2 linked regions of the Oryctolagus cuniculus genome follow. The protein of the gene in region 2 interacts with the protein of the main gene of each other region in a pairwise test. Links are inferred from orthologs where the notes say so. Each region holds a gene or a part of one and is shown on either strand. Other genes may lie near its edges.

Region 1 (4,083 bases), on a different chromosome or scaffold from region 2:
CCCGACAGTTCAGTCCTGGGGTTTCACCGCCTCCCGGTGAGCCTGATGTGACTTCGCACAAACGTACAGCGGTTTGTGGGTGCCAGGCCCCGGGGGTAGAAAGAGGCGGCTCAGGGCTGATGGCCTGGTGGGTGAGACCAGGAACAATGAAACTTGTGCTGAGGGACAGGAAGAAAACCGAGTGAAATGGAGAGTGACTAAGGGGTGCTTGGCCTCTCCTCAGTGGAGAAATCACGTCGGGCCGCGGGGCAGGGTTCTTCAGTGTGGGACACTGGCAGGAGAAATGGGCTTTTCCCATGAATGGGTGAGACAAACCCGAGCTGTCCGTACGCTCCCGGCTTGTACACTCAGCGCTTTCGGCTCCTTGCATCCTCCCAGAGCTTACACGGTAAGTACTGCTGCCTCCGTTTGCAAGTGGAAATCGCACAGATCGCAGATGTTGGAAACAGGACCAAAACCCACTGTCCACTTCTTCAGCCGCTGCGCGAAGAATCGCAGTGCAGAGTGACATGCAAATCCCTTCTCTCCTGTGTCCGGGTCCCCCATTTGTAAAAGCCATGATTTTGGCCCGCGCCGCGGCTCACTAGGCTAATCCTCCACCATGCGGCACCGGCACACCGGGTTCTAGTCCCGGTCGTGGCGCCGGATTCTGTCCCGGTTGCACCTCTTCCAGGCCAGCTCTCTACTGTGGCCCGGGAGTGCAGTGGAGGATGGCCCAAGTGCTTGGGCCCTGCACCCCATGGGAGACCAGGAGAAGTACCTGGCTCCTGCCATCGGATCAGCGCGGTGCGCCGACTGTAGCAGCCATTGGAGGGTGAACCAACGGCAAAGGAAGACCTTTCTCTCTGTCTCAGTGTCCACTCTGCCTGTAAAAAAAAAAAAAAAAGCCGTGATTTGGCTTCATTCATTCGCTCGACACAGTCCTTGGAGACACAGTCCTTGGAGGCTTGCTGCATACCCTGACTGTAGGCGCAGGGGATACAGCAGTGAGCCGAGCAAAAAACCCTCCCTTTCTGTACCAAAAGTAAGGGGATCCTAAGAACTAAGGGAAAAGCGAGAGAGGCCGGGAGGTGGAGTGTGATCAGGGAATGCTCCACTGGAAAGATGAGCTTTAAGGAAAAACAAAGGATGCGACTATCAAATTCTGTTACCAAGATCCACGCATGCGCGACACGCAGATCCGCTGCCTAGTGCTCGGGCGCCCTCTAGCGCCTCTTCAGGAGCGCGCAGCCACGGCCACCTGCGGAGGGATTGGGAGGCCGGAAGTTCCTTGTTCTGCCTTTGCCCGCCCCTTCCGGCTCACTTCCGCCTACCGCGCCCTGGTTCCCACACCGGAAGCGCCGCGCTCTAACCCGGACCTGCACCTCTCGGTTGAAACCCCGGGGCTGCCAAGATGCCGGTAAGTGTGAGCCCAGAGTGTGCGGGAGACAGCGGGAAGTCGTGCGTGCGACGGGAGATGCGTGCCTGGCAGGGCAGGCCGGAAGCGGGCGGCTGGCGAAGGGAGGGGTTGGTCCCTGAGGTCTGGGGGGCCTGGGGCTGCTGTCCGCCGGGGTCGACTGCGGGGCAGGAGTGGGCCACGGCCCCGACGCGGGAGGAAGCCGCCGCGGCGCGTCCTGCCCGGTAGTCCCCGGTGGCGGCGCCCCCTCGCCCCTCCGCTCCCGGACGCGGGCAGGGTACCCAGAGGCTTTTTCGAGCCCCGAACCCAGGGCTGTGCTTTTCATGTTTCAGGGTCCAGCTTCTCCTTCGCCCCCGCACCCAGTCAAGCCCACTTCCTCCTCCGCCGCAGGGGGCGTGTCCCCGCCCGACCCCGCCTGACCCCGCTTCCTCCACTCCTCCCTGCCACCCCCGCCGGGGCCAGGGGGCCTGGGGCCCTCGGAGCCGACCCAGGGTCCGCAGCTGGTTTCCAGATGGAAGCATCAGAGTGGGGGTGGAAACAGGCCGTGCGGTTGTGTGTGGGCCCCCGGTTGCGGGGTAGGAGCACGGTGGCCCTGCGGCGCGTGGGATACCTGCAAGCTGATGGCTGTGGCAGCCGCCAAGGCCAGCACTCAGGTGCCCATGAGTGAAAGGAGTATTTTCAGGTGGTGACAAACGCCGTGAAGCAGGTGGATCGAGACCGTTGCTGCTCCAGATAACGCATACCTGTCCGGGAAAAGAACCGGCTGTTGTCATAGATAATGTTTCACGAATCGCATAGGTAGCATTGACTCCTGGGGACTGCTAGGCGGAGCCGAGCCACACGCTGTGTAGACGCTCCCGTGTGCCCCTCGTCACTGACCCTGCAAGGCAGATACCATTGTTTCTGTCACAGAGAAGTTAGCAGCTCCTGCAGGGCCCCGGCCGTGGACTCTGAAGCCCTGTGTGCAGTCCAGTTGCCCATAGAGCGCCCTGGACTTACCCTGTGATTGCTCATTTTATCTGGATCCATTAGCCTGGGAATTCTTTAATCCCAAGGACCGTGTTCTGGTGTGTTGCCATAGCACCCTGCTACATGTGCGCGTGGCTGGTGAACCAGTGAACACATGGTTGGGGCCCGTGTTGTCTTACAGAAAGCCAGCCGTCTTGTAAAAAGCAGAACCAGGAATCGGCATACAAACCGTTCTCATAAATGTGACTTTTCTCTGTCTCTTAACTCACTGACCCACAGGAGGCAGAATATGTCTCATTTTGCAAATTTGGAAACAGGCTGAGAGAAAAAAGTGGTGTCTTGGTGAAAGACATAAACCCAGGAGAGAGCAGATCTGAAAAGCTGGAGCTTGGGTTCTGGTTTAAATGCAGCTGGGGGTAGCTACCCCTGATTTAGATGGTGTTTGCTTATGTCCGTGTGGAAATACTCCCACCCACCACCCCTGTGCTGTCACTAACCATGGAACAGGAGAGATGCACAGTGTCACAGTGTTGCAGTATTTGTATTTCTACCATAAACGTAACACAGATAGAGCCTTAAGAACATAGACAGTGGTAAATGTAATTTGAAAATTAGGAGATGATGAGAACATATACCTTTGTTTTTTTAATAAATATAATTGTAAGGTTATATAATTTAAAGTTTTTATTTATTTGAAAGGAAGAGTAACGGGGGCCGGCACCGTGGCTCACTTGATTAATCTTCCACCTGTGGCGCCGGCATCCCATATGGGCGCCAGGTTCTAGTCCTGGTTGTTCCTCTTCCAGTCCAGTTTTCTGTTGTGGCCCGGGGCGGGGGGGGGCAGTGGAGGATGGACCAAGTGCTTGGGCCCCTGCACCCCATGGGAGACCAGAAGCACCTGGCTCCTGGCTTCGGATCAGCGTGGTGCCGGCCATAGTGGCCATTTGGGGAGTGAACCAACAGAAAGAAGACCTTTCTGTCTGTCTCTCTCACTGTCTATAACTCTACCTGTCAAAAAAAAAAAAAAAAAAGAAAGGGAAAGTTACAGAAAGAGAGTAAGTGACAGAGACAAACAGATCTCCATCCCCTGGTTCATGGCCGAAGCCAGGAGCTTGGAACTCCGTGAGCATCGGAGGGAGCTGCATTGGAAGTGGAGCAGCTGGGACTCAAACCGGTGCCCACGTGGGATGCCAGCACTGCAGTCAGCAGCTTAACCCACTGCACCACAAACGGGTTTAAATGTTTGGGAATGACTGTTTAATAACCAGCTTGCACCATTAAGTTGGTTTTCTTCTGTTTGAGAGATAAAGAGACACACACAGCACTCCCATCTGCCCACGATGGCCAGGGCTTTGCTGTGGCTAACGCCTGGGCACAGGAACACAGGCCTGGTCTCCCACATGGCTGGCAGCGACCCGATCACTTGAGCCATCACCACTGCCTCCCAGGGTCTGCATTGGCAAGAAAGCTGGCATCAGGGGCTGGGAGTCAAACTTGGCGTTGTGCTGTGGGCCGCGGATATCCTAACTTCCAGACTGAATGCCTGCCCCTAGTGATTGACTTGCTTGAGCCGGAAGCAGCCGGCCCCAGCACATCACTGTTGCCAGCCCTGCTTCTCCCCACCCTACCTCATCTTGGGCAGATGACTCATTTTTTGTTGTTCTGGGGGGATGTGCTTGTCAGCCCCTGTAACATTTGGCATCTTTCTGCTTCTGTAT
Region 2 (3,646 bases):
TCTAAATATCCTAAATCCAGTGCTGGCATAATATTAATGAATACATCAAGGAATGCATGCATGAATGAGTAAATCAAACAAATGAATTTATCAATCAAGACTGAATAGATAGCAGAGGCAAAAAAGGTCAGTCAAATTTCTAATTTAAAATGATAGCTAAATTCTTTTTAACTGAAGTTTTTGCTCTGCTATGGTGTAATGAGAATGTAAATACTAGGAAGAGAAGCAATCTCGTATGAACAAGGTGGCAAAGATGACTATCAACAAACAACATAATTTATCTGCATTTTACTGTGATAATTAAGATACAACTAAAATGTAAGATACTTCAAATGAATTATCAGATCTTAAAACACTGCAAATTGTACTCTTAGGAACTAAACGTAATTTTTATATTTTATACAAGAAAAAAGTCTGCATTTCAAAATTAATAAAAAGATTTACATTTATATTCTGAAAATACCTTATTGATTAAATAACTACTAAATTACAACCAACCTTAACAGTGATTTGCAGGATTCATGGAGTAAATTATTTACTTAACTATAATTTTTTTTCTAAATATGACAACTGGAAAATTTTGTGTGGATTTTCATAAATTTAATATAAAACTTTAAAAAATCATACCAAGTTTTTAGTTGCAAAATAATATAATATATAATATGATGGGCCAAATTAACTATCAATAAATTCAAATATTTTGCTCAAAACTGAAGCTGACATCAAAGATAAAAAGAAAAATAGAAATAAAAGTTACCTTGCCTTCGCAGTTCATTTTTAACAGCTTCCACACCTCCCGTTTTTTCAATAAAGTCATATATAACTTTTGATGTTTCTCTGTCTTTAAGTTGTGCCTCTGAGATTCCACACATATCAAAAAGATTCTTCAATTCTGGATCCAAATTATTCAACTACAACAGATAAAATAACCACAAACTATAAAAATCTACCCTTGTTTATTAAAAATAAGTATGACAAAGTATAATTCTCATATGTTTTTTGAAAATATTTAAGTTAATTCTTTTTCCTTTTAAAAAATATTTCTTTATTTCAAAGGCAGAAATACAGAGAGAAGGAGTCAGGGAGAGATAGGGATAGAGGGAGAAAGATCAAGAGATCTTCCGGGGCCAGTACTGTGGCATAGTGGGTAAAGCTGCCGCCTGCAGTGCCAGCATCCCATATGGGCACTGGTTCAAGTCCTGGCTGCTCCACTTTCGATCTAGCTCTCTGCTATGGCTGGGAAAGCAGTAGAAGATGGCCCAAGTCCTTGGGCCCCTGCACCCATGTGGGAGACCTGGAAGAAGCTGCAGGCTCTTGGCTCTGGATCGGCACAGCTCCTCTGTTGCAGCCAATTGGGGAGTACACCAGACCTCTCTCTTTCTCTCTTTCTCTCTCTGTATAACTCTTTCAAATAAATAAATAAATCTTTAAAAAAGAGAGAGAGAAAGAGAGATCTTCCATTCACTGGTTCACTATCCAAAACGCTGGGACAGGGCCAGGCCGAAGGCAGGAACCAGGAGCTACTTCTGAGTTTCTCAGAAATGGATGCAGGGGCTGAAATACTCGGGCCATCTTCCGCTGCTTTCCCAGACACATTAGCAGGGAGCTAGATTGGCTGTGGAACAGCTGGGACTTGAACCGGTGCCCATAGGGTTGCTAGCACTACAGGCAGAGGCTTAACCTTCTATGCCGCAAGTCCAGGCACAAGTTAAATAAACTTTTAATGCAGTTACAGTATTTATATGCTAACAAAATAAATGTTAATGGAGCCAGCACTGTGGTGCAGTAGGTTAATGCCCTGGCCTAAAGCACCGGCTCGAGACCCAGCTGCTCCACTTCAGATCCAGCTCCCTGCTATGGCCTGGGAAAGCAGTAGAAGATGGCTCAAGTTCTTGGGCCCCTGCACACTCGTGGGAGACCCGGAAGCAGCTCCTGGATCCTGGCTTTGGATTGATGTAGCTCCAGCCATTGCGGCCAATTGGGGAGGGAACCATCAGATGGAAGACCTCTTTCTCTCTCTCTGCCTCTCCTCTCTCTGTGTAATTCTTTCCAATAAATAAATAAATCTTAAAAAAAATAAACGTTAATAAATCTAAAAGGAGACATATACTCCAATACAATAGTAATGGGGGACTAAAAGCACATTTTCATCAATGTACAGATCAACTAGACAGAAAACCAACACAGAAAAAACAGCCAAATGACATTATAGACCAAAAGGACCTAACAGATATCTACAGAACCTTTCATCCCACAGCTGCAGAATACAAATATGGAATCAACCCAGATATCCATGAACTGATGAATAGATAAAGAAATTATGGTATACATACACTATGGAATACTCAACCGTAAAAAAGAAAAATCTTGTCTCTGGCAACAAAATGGATGCAACTGGAAATTACTATACTTAGTGAAATAAACCAGTCCAAGAAGACCAATACCATATGTTTTCCCTGATCTGTGGTAACTAACAGAGCACCAAAAATGTAATGTGTAAGAGTGAAACTGACATTCTTAGATTCATGATTGTTCTCTACTGTTGAGGAACAGTGTTCTTTTCTTCTTACTATTTGTTGACATTTTACTTAGTGTATGGTTAGTCTTTTGAATATATAGCAAACTGAAAACAGATTACTGCAAAAATGGAGAGAGAATAAGAAAGGAAAGAGGAAAAAGGGTGAGAGTGTTTATTGGAGGGAGGGTAGGATGGGAAGGGTCACTATGTTCCTAAATTTGTATATATGAAATACATGGAATTTGTTTACCTTAAATAATAATAACAGAATAAATATGAACAAAGAATAGATCTTACATTTTATCACATCTCTTTTTTGTTCCCTGACTTCAGAAGAAGAGAATTCTTGATTTCTATTAACCCATTCATGATTCAAACATCAACAATGTGAATCTATTTCACCTTGTCCCAGGTTAAGATTTAAGTATAATCACAAAGAAAGACAAAAACAGCAAATCAATTTGAAAATCCAAGGGTAAGGACATTTTTGTAATTTTTAGCCCTTGAATAGTGCTCAACAGAAAAAGACACTCAATATGTATGAGATTAATGTGGTAATTATAACAAAAATATTGAAAATGATTTTTGAACCAAGTCACAAAATAACTTTGTTTTTAAAGATCTAATATGAAAGGACGGTACTATGGTTCCAAATCTCAGTAGTATATACACATAAGCACAACTCTTCCAAATAGACACTAGAAGCTGCAAACATAAATAATAATAAAGAAATAAGCCCTTTGAAAAGTCTAAATGCAAGTCATAACATTCTTACATATTTATATCAATATTGTATACAGCTTGAAAAGACACTCACATCAAAGCCTGTATTTGGATCCCAACCAACATGTCCAATGTGCCTAAAGTAACAAGTAGAAAAATAAAATGCATGAAGGGCAATAAAAACATATATGTAGGAAATCCAATTCTCCAGTGGAATTTTGGGTCTGAACGAACAGTTCTCACAGACATACCGGTATTCTAGGAAAAATTATATACAAGGAATTGGAAGATCAGGATTCCAGCCCTGGTCTTGCTACCAATCTTAACGTTTTTGTACAATCTCTCCAAGAACTATTTACCAAGTTAGCTTAAGAATATACAAGCATTTCATATATATGCATATAT

The links.
Region 1: the proteins of WASL (region 2) and ARPC3 interact in binary tests that used the Homo sapiens proteins (3 or more experiments, as listed by UniProt). The two-hybrid records come from large-scale screens. The link is inferred for Oryctolagus cuniculus from reciprocal best matches to the Homo sapiens genes WASL and ARPC3.

The regions. Positions count from the first base shown.
Region 1 is NC_091452.1:8,116,068-8,120,150, reverse strand, and holds the start of ARPC3 (actin-related protein 2/3 complex subunit 3), read left to right. Parts: upstream 1-1,183; 5' UTR 1,184-1,393; coding exon 1,394-1,399; intron 1,400-4,083. UniProt on the Homo sapiens protein: Component of the Arp2/3 complex, a multiprotein complex that mediates actin polymerization upon stimulation by nucleation-promoting factor (NPF).
Region 2 is NC_091434.1:159,920,165-159,923,810, forward strand, and holds part of WASL (actin nucleation-promoting factor WASL), read right to left. Parts: intron 3,379-3,646; coding exon 3,336-3,378; intron 912-3,335; coding exon 758-911; intron 1-757. UniProt on the Homo sapiens protein: Regulates actin polymerization by stimulating the actin-nucleating activity of the Arp2/3 complex. Involved in various processes, such as mitosis and cytokinesis, via its role in the regulation of actin polymerization.